Linked DNA regions of Pelodiscus sinensis. The protein of the gene in region 2 purifies or fractionates together with the protein of the main gene of each other region. This does not show direct contact. Links are inferred from orthologs where the notes say so. Each region holds a gene or a part of one and is shown on either strand. Other genes may lie near its edges.

Evidence for each region. The genes of interacting proteins can lie anywhere in the genome.
Region 1: the proteins of PTPDC1 (region 2) and PPP2R2A purify together in Homo sapiens (affinity purification with mass spectrometry; 4 studies listed by BioGRID and IntAct, counting the BioPlex papers as one, with this or other methods). This does not show direct contact. The link is inferred for Pelodiscus sinensis from reciprocal best matches to the Homo sapiens genes PTPDC1 and PPP2R2A.

What each region holds. Positions count from the first base shown.
Region 1 is NC_134738.1:8,923,521-8,931,179, forward strand, and holds the start of PPP2R2A (serine/threonine-protein phosphatase 2A 55 kDa regulatory subunit B alpha isoform), read right to left. Parts: upstream 3,090-7,659; 5' UTR 3,005-3,089; coding exon 2,968-3,004; intron 2,230-2,967; coding exon 2,152-2,229; intron 1-2,151. UniProt on the Homo sapiens protein: Substrate-recognition subunit of protein phosphatase 2A (PP2A) that plays a key role in cell cycle by controlling mitosis entry and exit. Involved in chromosome clustering during late mitosis by mediating dephosphorylation of MKI67.
Region 2 is NC_134721.1:50,157,739-50,165,656, forward strand, and holds the start of PTPDC1 (protein tyrosine phosphatase domain-containing protein 1), read right to left. Parts: upstream 3,079-7,918; 5' UTR 1,854-3,078; coding exon 1,640-1,853; intron 1,066-1,639; coding exon 894-1,065; intron 98-893; coding exon 17-97; intron 1-16. UniProt on the Homo sapiens protein: May play roles in cilia formation and/or maintenance.

The DNA.
Region 1 (7,659 bases), on a different chromosome or scaffold from region 2:
TCATCCATATGGGTAAAAATTCCCACTCAACAAAATCCACTATGGTCGGTTAGCCCCATTTAATTTTCCTAGGACCTTACTTAGGCAGCTATTCCAGTGTACATCTCGACTACAAAAAATCCCTGTCTTCAAAATCCCAGTCTTCTTCTCCCCCATTGAACACTAAAAAAGCCTTTCCAAAAAGATGATATAAGCTGACTATGAAGTCATACTCTTGTCTCTATCTAGAAAAAGCTTGTACAATGAGCAACTCAGATCCTTTTTACAATTAAAACCAGATATTTATACAAAAATTTGTTAAAAGCAACACAGTCATGTTGAAATGCAAGTTAGTTAGGGCAGGGTTTCCCAAAGTGTGCTCTGTGGAGCCCTGGGGTCCAGCAGCTGCTTGAGAAAATATTAACAACAATTGTATGACCCTGTTATTTTGTCACTAATTTTCTGATATATATTCCCCCCCCTTCAGAAAATTAAGAAATAAACAAGAAATAAAAACAGAATTTCTAAACTTTGTCTGTCTATCTGGGTACCTATTAAATTAAAAATCATTAAATTTTAAGGCTCCACAAAATTTTCAGGACCCATGGAGGCTCCCTGGCTGAGAAAGTTTGGGAAACCCTGAGTTAAGGTATTGTGGCTAGCTATTGCAGCTGTCAGGAAGTTAAATCATCTTTCATACTCAGTGTAGGAACTATAATATTTAAGAACCAAGAGGGGAAATTAAGAAATAAGTCTGGCTCTTGGATTTCCAGATCTTTGGAAGAGCCATTTAATCACAGCTGTTTACTACAATACAAAAAAAAATCCCACCACACCCACACACGCAACACAAAAATTCACCCCCATAAAAACCTTATTAACAACTACCACCCATTACTATATGTAACGGAACAGATGCCTGAACATAAAAGGAAAAGCTCTAATATTCTTCCGTCCTGTTCATAGGATTCATCTATCAGTGGAAAATAGGCAGAGTCAAGATTTCCTCAATTGTTTACATTTAATTCAAAAGCCAGGTAGCTACAGAATACCAAACAAAATCCATAAAAATTGAAGTCTGGTAGGAAAAAAACTATACAACCATTATCTAAATTGCCATTAACATTCAATCTTGAATGCTAATTGCTGAACAATTTAAAATATATCCATCTTAGGCAAAATATATTAGAAGTTATTGAAATCTGTTACAACCTATTTGTTTCTAAAGCCTTTCAGTTGCTAAGCATCACACAAAACTTTTGAAGAGCACCATTTCCAGATATTTCAGAGGCAGATGGCTCCATGGGAGCGGGTACATGCACAGGGAGGCGGCTCTGTGGGAGCTGGTACACACGGAGAGCCAGTTTAAAAGCCAGCTCCCTGCATGCACCAGCTCTCGCCACCCCACCTATGCAGCCGCGACAGGTGAGGGGAAGGACTGTGTGTAACTGTGCATGTTAACTCATGAGCCCAGGCTCATGGATTAACCATGTACACATTCACATCCCTAACAGGAACCTTATACTACGAAAGTGTAGAGGCAGTTTCCACTAATAATTCATCATGAAAAATAACTGATACTTGAAAAGCTTGTACAAAAAAAGCTTGTAATTCTGATTTATAAATCAGCATGGAAAGACTGGGAGATGTTTTGCATAGTGTCAGATACATTACATCTTCAAGGTGCTGTGCAAACATTCTTTAGAGGGTTGTTGCGAGAATTTATGAAAAATATCATTATTCCCATTTCACTGATGGGGAAAACAGACAAGTTAGTCCCTCAGTCTCAATGGCCATTACGTGTCATGTGACAGATATTTTGGAAAACAAGTTAACTAGTGTTGCAATCTATGGGGCAAATTCAATTCTAACAAACAGCAGGAGGACCAGGGATATCAGCTGAATTGCACTTCTACCATATACAAATCGGATCCCAGAATATACTGGAATGACAATGTTTCTACTTGCTTTCCTACTTCGCTAAAATTATCTCAGAGGGGTAGCCATGTCAGTCCATAACTTCAAAAACAATGAGTGGTCTTGTGGCACTACTGATTTGGCTAAAATGACGTTCAGTAAAACCCAGTTTTGGAGGAAATACTTCAGCAACACCCTTGCTAAGTTTAACCAACAGCAATCAGATGTAGTCACTGTGAAGAAGTTTGTTCTTACCTTCTGCTACATCATCATCTACAGCCCCTTTCACCTGAGAAAAACACCACTGAATGTCATTCCCTCCTCCTCCAGCTCCTAGAGAAAGCAAAACAAATAATTGATTCCAGTAAACGGAGATGGTAGCCACCGCTGGCAAGTGACACAATTTAGTCAGTACTGGACACACCTACAACAATCAAAATTTCTTATGCAAAGACATAGGTTCCAAAACTTGATTACAAACTGTCTCTCTGCAACTCCACCACCCACCGCCTCCCCGCCCTGACAATGCTTTTGCCCGTGATTTGCCCAATATTTAAAGCAACATCTGTCAACAGTAATGATAGAATGACAAAAGTTGCTCTTTGTAACTGATGAAAAAACTCACAGAACTATCAAAACAAGCACGGCTAGTGTTAATAAAACTACGTTATGTTAAAAATGAGCAACAGCTGGTATATTTCACAACACTTTTTTAATATAAAAACTTCAGTGCCCTCTAAAACATAGAGCACTTCACTTACAAGGGACTTAAATTTCAAAGTAAAATATTAGGTGCGAGAATGGCCCTAACAAGTTTTCCAAATATTTCAAATAATTAAATGTTGGCACTTTATAAAAAAAAAAGGAAACAATTTTTCTTTTGCAAAATACTTTATACCGCTTAAGTACTTCAGACTAGAGGAAACAAGTTTTAAAGCAAGTTTATAAACCTCTTCCCTCCTCTGTCGTAATAGTAGCTAAAGAAATTGTCAGGCTTAGATTTTTTTAAAAGCAAGGAATCTGTGCAGCAAACTGAACAATCTGCCTTAAGCTAACAGCAAGTATAACTACCGTAGAAAATGGGTCGAAGAGAAAACTTCAGGAACATTACCACCTCCGCAGAAGGTAGTGATTCATTTGAACCTCACCACCCAAAAGCACACAAAAAAAATCCACCCCTTTCTTTTGCATTTCATTCTTAGCAAATCACTGGGCTGGGGTCCAGACAGGAAGAGAAATTGAAACAAGTTTGCTCTGTCTGCAAGAGGATATCAAAATGGAAATTCCTTCTCAACCCACAACCAAAAAAGAACAGATGTATCTTGTGAGGCATTAATGTGATGCAACATTTTTGGGGAACAAGAGGGGACATGCAGGAAGGATCCTTCCCTACCCCACCCACACCAAGTTGAGGAACAAATTAACTTAAGTTCAAGTTAGCAACAGCAGGATGATCCCTCTCTCCATGAGGGATCAAGAGGCTGCTCGGGCAAAGAGGGCATGGGGAGGCGGAGGAATAAACCAAAAAGGATTAGATTGTAATATCTTTTTGGAGCTTCTTACAAAGTCCAAGAATTAGGAAAGACAACGTGAACTAGAATCAGCCAAGGTGATGGGGAAATCTTATCATGATATCAATCTACACCAGTGTTTCTCAACCAGTGGTACGAGTACCCTTAAGGGTACACAAGAGAAGTCTGGAGGGGGGTACGTCAACACAACTGAAATTTGGAGAAAACTGAATTTTTTTAAATTTTACAGTGCTTTATTATTTTTGTACTTTTTACACCCAAAAATTTCATTGCCCGCCTGGCTACGATTAAGTTGTGTAAATAAATGTCCTGCAATGGTAGAAAAAAAAGTGTGTCTGAAATCTGTAGGTACTGGGGGTACTTATACATGTATCAAAAACAAATATTGCAGTTCATATTGTAAAGATCAGCGTTTCTCAACCTTTTTTTTTTTAAGTACCCCTTTAAAAAAATATAACTGTAGGTACTGGGCGTACTTTTTTTTTTTTTAAAGGGGTACTTAAAAAAAAGGTTGAGAAACGCTGATCTATACAATATGAACCGCAATATTTGTTTTTGATACATGTATAGGGAAAGTATCCCACTTTCAGCATCTTTCACCAACCATCCAAAACCCCTATCCATCCAATTTCTCCTCTCCCCCCTCCCCCCATCTGTATTTGACTCTTACTTTTAACACCATGGAAAAATTTTGAGAATGTCTGTTTGCAAGAAAAAACATTATATGCTGCAAACTGTATTTTATTTTTTATGCAACTTGCTACATTAAAGGCCTTGTTTCAGCAGATTCAAAAGGGTGGAGTGACATAGCCTGGTGTGTGTGCGCGTGTGGGAAGCAAGGTGCAAACCTAAATACTGCCTCTCATGCTGCTCTAGAAAATGCATGGCACTGAAGAGGCAATTAATTTGCAGAAGGGGGAAATGAACATATCACCACAAGAAAGAGACAGGGACATCCTATGCATGTGGATAATTTTTATCTTCCAAATTGCTCTTTAGGATGCAAGATAAACAACCTGAAAAATGGAGAATGAACATAAATCTCCAGAATTAAGAAAATTAGACATACAACCACCATGCATTATTGCACACGCTCAGAGAGACTTGAATTTTCTAAGAAACTACATCCTCTTCCCAATTTCACCTTTCTCTGCAGCTACCCACATAGCTGCACCCGACAGTAGGGTGCAACTGCACTCTAAACACAATCGCATCTGCACCCTACAGCCACTCTCCTGTACAGATCTGCACCCCCTTCAACACAACACATACGTGCAATTTCCTCGCAAAACCAGAAAGTCTGGGGAAGCCAAAAAAAAAGACACACCCAGCTTAGAAACCTCCTAACACGCTGAACTTCAGAAATACAAGGCTTTTTCCCCCAGACCTCCATCCACCTTCTTCCTTGTGAAACACAAATGTGTTGCAAGCAGGGAAGCAAAAGAGGGGAAGGAGCACAGATTTCTAGAAGGGGAAAAAAAAATAGGACAAGCGTATGCAATGCAAAGGGCACTTCAGGATTCAAGGTTTTAGGAATGCAAATTTTTTAAAAAGGAGGAAGAGAAACCGAGCCCACACTCCGAGGGAGGAATAGCCACCAGAGAGAGGGAAGGAGGAAAAGGAGACCGAGGTGCCCAGCAAGTCCATGCCACCTCCACGCACAGCAGGCAGCAGCAGCTCAGCGTGGCTGGCTGATTCAAGGCCATTTTAGCGGCCTCGCCTGCCCCTCCACAGACCTCCCCCCGCCCCCTGGGCTCTGTGGGCAGCGGGGGCCGGCCCCCGGGAAGGAGGGGGCTCGCTCCCCCTTACCTGCCATGTTGGGCTCCCGAGTGGCCGGGTCGGAGAGAGCGGCCTCCCGGCTCTCCAGGCGGCCCGCTGCGCCGGGCGGGTGGCGAGCGTGGAGGGAGGATGGCGGCAGATTGTCCCCCGGGGGGGGGGCGGTGCGAAGCCGGCTCCGTTCGGCTTCCCCCGCGCTCTTCGCGTCGGTCTTTCCTTGCCAGCCCGCCCCCCCCCCCTTCTCGTTCCAAGCTTCCAGTTTCAAAATGGCGCCGGCTGAGCTGGGGGGGTGACGTCACTCGGAGAGGGGTAGGGGCGGGGTGAGAACTCCAGAGAGAAGGGAGGGGACAGGAGGGGCGTCCGGGGAAGACGGTTGGTTCGGTTGCGTCCGCGCCTGCGGCTCTCGCTGGCGCCTCTCGGCGAACTCCTGCTCACCAGCCCCGTGCGCTGTGCTCACTGCACCCTGCACATCTGCCCAGCTGTGCCCCAGCTCCTGCCGGCTGGATCCTCGCTGCACCCGCACATCTGCCCAGCTGTGCCCCAGCTCCTGCCAGCTGGAGCCTCGCTGCACCCGCACATCTGCCCAGCTGTGCCCCAGCTCCTGCCGGCTGGAGCCTCGCTGCACCCGCACATCTGCCCAGCTGTGCCCCAGCTCCTGCCAGCTGGAGCCTCGCTGCACCCGCACATCTGCCCAGCTGTGCCCCAGCTCCTGCCGGCTGGATCCTCGCTGCACCCTGCACATCTGCCCAGCTGTGCCCCAGCTCCTGCCGGCTGGATCCTCGCTGCACCCGCACATCTGCCCAGCTGTGCCCCAGCTCCAGCCAGCTGGAGCCTCGCTGCACCCCCACATCTGCCCAGCTGTGCCCCAGCTCCTGCCAGCTGGAGCCTCGCTGCACCCGCACATCTGCCCAGCTGTGCCCCAGCTCCTGCCGGCTGAATCCTCGCTGCACCCGCACCTCTGCCCAGCTGTGCCCCAGCTCCTGCCGGCTGGAGCCTCACTGCACCCGCACATCTGCCCAGCTGTGCCCCAGCTCCTGCCGGCTGGATCCTCACTGCACCCGCACTTGTGTGCATTGCACCCGCACATTTGCCCAGTCGCACCCACTGCACCCGTGCTATCCCCACGGTTTGCCGGCTGCATCCTCACTGTGCCCGCTGTGCCCACTGCACCCCACCTCCTGGGTCCTCACTGCACCCACACATTTTCCCAGCTGTGCCCACTGCACCCCACCTCCTGCCAGCTGGGTCCTCACTGCACTCACACATCTCCCAAGCTGTGCCCACTGCACCCGCACTACCCCACCCCTGCCTGCTGCATCCCAGCCCATCCCAGCCACACATCTTCCCAGCTGTGCCCACTGCACTCAGACCTGTCCCCACTTCCTGCCAGCTGCATCCCAGCCAGGGGTGCTGGAACAATTTTTAGTGGGGGTGCTGACAGCTGTTGTACCAAATTGGAAACCCTGTGTATAATGGAAACCACTTCTAGCTAGGGGATGCTGCAGCACTCCTACACCCCTAGTTGCCACACCTATGGTCCTAGCCATTCCCACCCACTGTATTCACTATACCGGCACATCTGCCCAGCTGTGCCCACTGCATCTACATGCATCTCCACCTCTTGCTAGCTGCACCTCAGTAAGCTGCATTCACAAATCTCCCCAGCTCCTACCACTCTACACAGAACCTGCACATCTGCTCAGCCCTTCCCATCAACTGAATATCCATCAACTTCTCTGCTCCCTGTGACCACTGCACCACACCTCCTCCTAGCACCTGCCACAAACATTCATTTCTCCTACCCCCCTGCCCTGTCTCCATCAACTATGTTCCCTAACAGGGCATACCCACTTATTGCTGGGCACACTGCACCTCCACCTCTGATCAACCGCTGCTTGCTACTTCCCTGTGCCTGTCAGCACCAGCTGTGCTCATTTCTCTGGCCAGCACTTGCCATCTGTGCTGCACCCACAACTGTACCCAGGGTCCACTAGCTGCTGGAGAAAAGGTTCTGATTTGGGCTCCCTTTGATTCATGTTACAAATTAACACGGCGCTTTAAAGAATTAGCACCATATTCTCTAAAGAATTCGGGTATAAACCCCATCCTGGGGAGGTTGTGTGTTTTATTTGTGCTGTTAGATGTATCGCATTAAAAAAGGCCTGGAATAGATTTCAGCATCTGTGCCCGAGAAAGCCGCCTTCTCAGTGCACCAATCATTTCTGTCCTAAACTATTTGTCAAAGTATTTCTCAGCCCCATTCCTTATTTCAGCCAGATGTTGAGTCTTCTCTGTCTCTCTTCACTCCTCTGATGACATTCCTCATTCAACTTACCCAGTATTTCTCTGTTCTAGCCACACCCCCCGTTTGAATGCTCTCCCCTCGCCCCCACCTCAGGATGGTTTCCACGACATCTGTAGCCTTTTAGTTCATATTTTACTAGATAACCCTTCT
Region 2 (7,918 bases):
TAGAGCAATTCATTACCTTTGAAACTGTTCAATAAGATTATACTTCTCAATAACTTCTGTTGAGGGTCGAGCCATGGCCAATATGTTATCTGTTATCCTGAAAAAATAAATTAATAATTTGGATGGATATTTCATTGTGATGATTTCCTGGGTAAACTACCAAAATATATAGTTGGTTTTCATTATCAGGAAGCTACCTGTAATTAGCAAAGTGCATTTATAACTTTTTTTTGAAAATTCTTTCATCAGTTAAATGACATGCTTTATAAATTCCACTGAAACAATTAAGTTACATAACAATATACCATTATTAGAGGTGCTCAGATATCATAGTAATGAGCACATTATTAAAACTTCAGTAGATGGCACCCAGACCATAATTTCTGTGTTCCTATTCAAAGACATTTTATATGTTTCTTCTTAACTAATTTTTACAAAATGTCAATATTAATTTTAAAATACATTCCAATGACCATACAGTATTGAAAAATGCTTTAATTGAATCTATACTTATTATCTTCATTAACATGTTTTGATTAATTTTAATCTAAACTCATGAACATATTTTAACTTAGCTATATTTAAATTTCAGGGCAAACTTCTATAGTTCAGAACAGTCATGTAACATGTTGACAGGCATTTATTATTTTGGATCTGAACCAATGCCCACTGAAGGCAATGAAAGTCTTTCATTAACTTCAATGAGTTTTGTATAAAGGCCTTTATGGCTTACTGCTAAGTATTAATTGATAACTGACCTTTTATTCCAGTACACACCGTATGTAACTTGGTAGTCTATATTTCATAGAAAAATACAATATAAATGTACTACCTTAAATTCTCTAACATAGCTAATAGTTTCACTAAGCTTAACTGTGAGTGTTACATATTACCAAGAAGAGTAAAGTCCTTTAATGGCTTGCTCTTGGACACTCCATCGAGCTGGGTTTTCATACTTGCAAGCACGTCCACCACATGCCATTGAACACTGCATATGGCCAGGAATGACATGGCGAAGGCGTTCCCCTACTTTAGTATATTTTGCAGTTGGACGCCTTGAATTTCCTACAAACACACACACAAACAGTAAATAGGATTAGCAAATTATCATCACTACCCTAAATGTAACACAGCATTTTAGGTTATTAAATTACAAGAATATAGTATATTAACTATTTTTCAAGAGATTTAAGTAGCAAGGATTCTCAGGAAATATCCCATTCTTTGCTTATATTAATGCCGAAGCTTATATTAGTACTGTTAATCATGACATCAGCTTGATTTTCTTCTTAATGAAATTATAGATATGTGATACCCTCCCTGATGAAGGAAATGTCACCTTTTATCTAGAAATGTAGAGCATGCCTGCACAAAGATACGTTAAGCTATCTTTTGTTTTCATTACTTTCTGAAACCAAGGTGTCAAACTGAAATGCTCTGCATGTTAAAAATAAAGTACAAATTAAACCCCGAGTAAGACATCAGTAAATACGACACATACTATAATAAAACAATTACTATAAAATAATTTTGAAATATTTATACATGCTTATATACTTCTGAACATCAGAACAAAGTTAGTACATCATAGCTATAAAACCCAAGTATGATTTTTGGCAATCATCTAGAAATACTTCACTTTTTTTCTCAGGAAAAGTTGCATTCAGCTCTTCAGGGCTTACAGATGATATGGCCACCATAACGCGGTGTGTAGATGATGAGAGCACCTCTACAACTGAGCTCCGGCGTCGCTGGAGTATGCGGAGAAGGGGATCAGAGGAAGAATGCCTCCGACCCTGAAAAAAGTTGCTAAAAATATTGACAGCTGAGCGCCTCCTAGGTGAACCCTCCATGATTATTCACCCTTTGCAACACTTTACAAATGCTGTAGAAAACAAACTGGATCTGAAATCCAACTTGCTCAATGCCGAAGTTACACAGAAACATGTATCTTTCTGTATGATCTAACAGCTAGTCAGGATAGGCTGAGCAATCTCCATAGTAACAAACAATGAAGCTACTGATGCCAGCTACCCTTGTGGCAGCTAAATTCTATATGAATTGATTCTGCTTGGGACAAACTGTTTCACTGATGATGAGAATAGCTGCATTTCAAGTAGATAATTCTGCAACTGGACTGGAGAAATTTTCCATAAACAAAATGAATATTTCAGTAAATTGCAATTATTGTACATTCAGCACACACTACACAGTATATTATATACCAAAATACAATCAAAATGTATTTTGAGCACTGCTTTCCTAGAAATCTGTAAGTACTCCCCCACTGATTAGTTTGTCAGTCCATTACCACCTTTTCTCCTCCACTTAGCTGCTCTAAAATGCACTGTTAGTTCTGTAATGATTGGAATTAGTGTGTTGCTATTGAAATTCAATACATGATGAATTGCAGCCTGCTCAATCGTGGACCATATATATCCACTAACAAAACACAGTTTGTTATTGAAAACAAAAGGTTTATTTTTTTCAGGGCAGAGCTTTTGATTAACTATGCCTCTTGGCTCTACTGGATTGAGGTAAAGCAGACTACTGGGAGATGTAGCCATATTATTTGATTGTTCAAAGCTTCAAAAGGTAGAAGAGGTAGTTATGGGGCTATGAACTGCCTCCACCTTTTCTTCCATGCTGGCCAGAAAGATTATGGCAATCTCAAAAATCACAGGGTGCAACCTTCACTTGCCTGGAGTAAGGATTGTAAAAACAATTTAAAATAATAGTTGTCTTGTCAATTCTGTTAGAGTGCAACTTGTAGATCTTGAAGGGCAAAATAGAGAAAAGAAAAGACAGAAGAAAAATCAGTATAACCTGACTTAATAAGTATGTTACTCCTGTTGTGCTCTCTCTGAGGGCTCTCAGTCCAGGTATGTGATTTCCATCTGATGTCACTGGGACTTGTGTATGTACCCACAGAAATCGATACCTCCCGAAGTTGAACTTTCATGATGAACCCAAGTACAGGCAGTCCCCGGGTTACGTACAAGATAGGGACTGTAGGTTTGTTCTTAAGTTGAATCTGTATGTAAGTCGGAACTGGCGTCCAGATTCAGCCGCTGCTGAAACTGACCGCCAGTTCTGACTTACATACAGATTCAACTTAAGAACCCCAAGCTCCCCAAGTCAGCTGCTGCTGAAACTGATCAGCGGCTGATTCCAGGAAGCCTGGGGCAGAGCAACTCTGCCTCGGGCTTCCTGTAGTCAGCGCTGGTCAGTTTCAGCAGCGGCTGACTTGGGGACACCTGGGGCAGAGCAGCTGGGGTGCTGCTGGGATGCTCCAGTAGCACCGCTCCTCGCTCCTTGGCGCTACTGGACCAACCCAGCAGCACCCCAGCTGCTCTGCCCCAGGCGTCCTGATTCAGCCACTGCTGAAACTGACCAGCAGCAGCTGAATCAGGACCTGGGGCAGAGCAGCTGAGGTGCTGCCGGGTTGATCCAGTAGTGCCCAGAGCGGCGCTGCAGGACCAATCGGCAGCGCCCCAGCTGCTCTGCCCCAGGGTCCACAACAAAAGCCTGGTCTGCTGGGGGGGGCACACTAGCTGCGCCCCCCCCCCCCCCAGCAGACCAGGGACACGGGGAGCAGAGCCGCAGAGGCAGCGGGGTGCCGCGCCTCTGAGGCTTCGCTCTGGCATAGTCTCAGAGGCAAGGGACCCCGCAGCGGCTGCGGCTTCAGTCCCGGTGCCTGTGGTCTGCTGGGGACGGTCCCCAGCAGACCACAGGCACCGGGAGCGAAGCCGCAGCAGCGGCGGGTTCCCGCGCTTCTGAGGCTTTGCTCTGGCAAAGCCTTAGAAGCCTGGGAACCCGCCACTGCTGCGGCTTCAGTCCCGGTGCCCCTGGTCTGCTGGAGATGGTCTCCAGCAGACCAGGGGCACCGGGAGCAGCTTACGAACGGGGCTTTCTCGCCCCGGAGCTCGCAGGCAGCAATCCGCCACCTCGATCTCCAGGGCGAGAAAGCCCCATTCGTAAGTGCGGATCCAACATAAGTCGGATCCGCGTAAGTCGGGGACTGCCTGTAAATAAAAAGTGGCTTTTTCTAGTTTTAAAATGTCAGGAAATGATCTCTCTCTTTTAGGTACAGACAAGAAGGACATGACTGGAATTTGAACAGATGTACCACTTGGCTAGTAAGGACTCACAGAGAGGTTTGATGCTGTTCCCAGGCCTACCACTTGCCAGTGATGGCAGGAGGGAAGAGGAACGTCTAAAATCTGCTCCCTTGGCTGCTGCTGTTGCCCAAGAACCTTTGCTACCCTGATCCAACCCAAATGCTCATATCAGGGGTGAGAGGAAGTATTGAGGCCTGCTCCTTAGCTGTTGTCCATGCATGTCTGCTACCAAACCATGCTCTCCTCAACTAATCACACGCCACCGTACAGCTGCTGCCTACAAGCCCTTTTTCTAAATCTGACATGTTCAAAAAAGAAAAACAAGCACTTTGAATTAAGCAGCATTCTAGACCTGAACGGCTGCTAAGGCAAGTTTCTGGGGTGTCTGTTATCGGGTGATCATAGGCTTTTTTTTTTGTTTGTTTAATTGCTGGATCTGTTGCCAACGACTACTTGTAGCTGTCCTGATGTTTGAAATTTTAGGAGTTATTTTTGTCTGGATAATGCACGAGTGCTGAGGTTTAAGTATCATTTGTGATTAACGGGTCTGTTTTAGAGATGGTTCAAATGCTGGCCACATCCAGAGAATATATCAAACTTTAGCTCATCAGTGATTTTGCTTTCTTAGATTTAATTCTGTATGAATCTTCATAAGTCAGCAACATTTTTCTCCAATATATGTCACATGCAAGAAAGTTATAGCGGAGCCAGCAGTGGATGAGACTGAGGTGTGCAAAATGCTGAATGCAATCACCCTTATTGACTTCCATGCCTCTTGGAAGTATTCAGCCAAATGTGTGAATCATAATTATTGCCAGTGTTCCCTCTAGGATTTTCCAACCATGATCGGGATGAGTTTTGGCTTGTGCACCAATACTGAGGTCATGTGCACTGGTTTGGATGTGTGCCACTGTGTCACCCAATTTATTAACACACACAATGTTACTATCCAGTAGAGCAGAAACCCCGCCCCCTCACACTCACCATGTGGCAGGTCCCATTCCCAGCCACTGGAGCAGACCTTGCCCCCCCCCCCCAAGCGGCAGGTCCCATTCCTGGCCCCAGCCACCAGAACATCACCAGAACAGGTCCCGTTCCCCCCGCCCCCCCGCCCATGTAGCAGCCCTGGCCACCAGAGAAGGCCCACCCAATGCCACACGTCACGTCCCAGCCCCAGCGGCTCCCTCACCACACTGTCTCAGCTAGCCCCACCCACCAGAGCAGCCATCTGCCACGCAGCTCTCCAGAGGAGGTGGGTGGGGGAAGAATTTTTTGTGCGCAGCAGTGCAGGCACGCAATGTAGCGAGAATATTATCGCCCATACAATTTTTAATATTTATTATTTTTGTGGTACCCCATGATGTCTAAGCAATTTCCAAAAACCAAAGATGGCACCATCCTCGGTCACAAGAATTTTATCACAAGAGAGCTAAAGGGAAGAAAAGCATGTCAAGGTGGTAACTGGTCATAGTCATGTTTGAATAACACAATGAATTATTTGTACTGCATGTACACACACATTATCCCCACCACCTAGCCATAACGGATATATATGGCTTTTTGGGGGGGTGGGGAAGGGACAGAGAGCAGGGATTCCTTTTTAAAACTCATCTAAACTTTCTTTTAAAAGGCATATTAAAGAAAATGATTACCTGAATTCATAGTTGAAAGATATGCACTGCTCTTTACCAGTGAACAATAAGGCAATTCATTTTGCAGCAAGACCCCTGCAGCCATTGCGGTACCTGTTGAAATAGTAACATGTTTATTGTACACACATCAGCGGAGACTTAAAAAAAATCACTGGAGGTTAGCTATGCAATACAAAAATACAGTTGAATAAGTTACATGTAGCACAGAGTGAGGCAGAGGCCTTGGGCAAATAGATACTGGCTGCACTACTCATTGTTACACAGTGGATTTAAACTGTAAGAAGTGACAAATTTCGCAGAAAATTCAAGCTCATACAACCTGCAATTTTAGTTCTGGAGCTCTGCTGAGTATGGACTCCAGAGCTGAACTTTTTATACAAATATGAGTCATTCAACAAAGGTCTTAGAATATTCAGTTCATTGCCATCTCAATTTCATCAAGTTCTCTACATAAATACACAACTATAGAGCAGAATCTTGTAAGAATGCTTTTTTCCCTCTAGCAGAAGCTAATGAAATCATATGCAAACTGGATACGACCAGACTGGGTCTGAGACTGGGAGTGACAAACTCACTACAAAAAATAATTTTCCCTCTTTTGGTATTCATACCTTCTCATTCACTGTTGGATGTGGGCCGCATCCATCCAGACTGAACTGATTTCGCTAGCACTGGTCCTCCACATAGTAATGTAACACCCACATCTTTGCATACACACACTTACTGATCTGAAGTCTCCACTTCGTGATTCTGATGAAGCATGTTCCAGCCCAACGAAAGCTTATGCCCAAATAAATGTGTTAGTCTTTAAAGTGCCACAGTCCTCCATGCTGTTTTTCATGAAATCAACGTGGCAGCACTGTTTCTAGATCAGAAACTTCGTACTTACAATTTTAATTACTTTGCATTTTTTCAAGATACACTCATGAACATGTGCTGTTAATCATCCACAATAGCATTCATAATCACCATAATTAAGCACAGAAATCAGGTGATGGATCTGAACAAACTTCAGGTTATTTTTGCCATATTTGCAATTACAGAAACCATATTTTGGAAAAGCGACGAGGAGTCCTGTGGCACCTTATAGACTAACTGAAGTGTAGGAGCATAAGCTTTCGTGGGCAAAGACCCACTTCGTCAGATGCATGCATCTGACGAAGTGGGTCTTTGCCCACGAAAGCTTATGCTCCTACACTTCAGTTAGTCTATAAGGTGCCACAGGACTCCTCGTCGCTTTTGCAGATTCAGACTAACACGGCTACCCCTCTGATACTTGACATATTTTGGAAGACACTTCTCCATTTAAAAAGTTTGGTATCTGAGATCTTGCCAACATGGAGAAGGGATTTTTGCTATAACCTAAGCTGTGAATTTAAACCAATACATTTCTATTAGCATAAATGCCCACAGGGACACCCTTATCCCAGTGTCAAAGTGTTTATCCTATTTAGCTTACATCCCCTAGTAAGTGGTTTACACAAATACAAAAATACTTTAAAACAAGCATAAAAGCGTCCATATAGGATGTTACATTGGCAGAACAGTTAAAACTCCCATGCAGACAAGCCTGAAGACCAAATTCTGCAACAATGCTTTTAGGATTCAACAGCATTAATTAAGCTGCCTTGAAGTACAGGAAATTTACTCAAAAGGTGTTAAGGGGGTGAGGTGGTGAAGCAGCCCAAGCCTATGTGTTTGTAAGGTGTTAATTGCTTGTTTTTCCTGGTCCATTGTTTAATTTATGCATATTTTGTATAATTGGTTTAAAAATATAGACTTAAAACATCCTCAGTGTGCATTTATCAGTTCAATGTAGCTCTGTCTGATTTCATAATGGAGTAAATCAGACGTATCCCCAATAAAGACAATGGGCCTGCTTCTCATTTACAGTAAAGCCATTTTAAAGACCTTTACTGCCAAAGCAATGTAAAGTGGACATAAGTTACATTTACCAACATTTTAAGGAAAAACTTAAAAAATAACAATAGACTAGTAGCACCTTAAAACTAACAAAACATGTAGATGGTATCATGAGTTTTCATGGGCAAAACCCACTTCTTCAGATGACAGGAGTGTTAGAAGTCCAGATCCAAGAATAAATAAGGGAAGGAGGGAGGGGGAGAGAAGGAAAAAAAGAGAAAG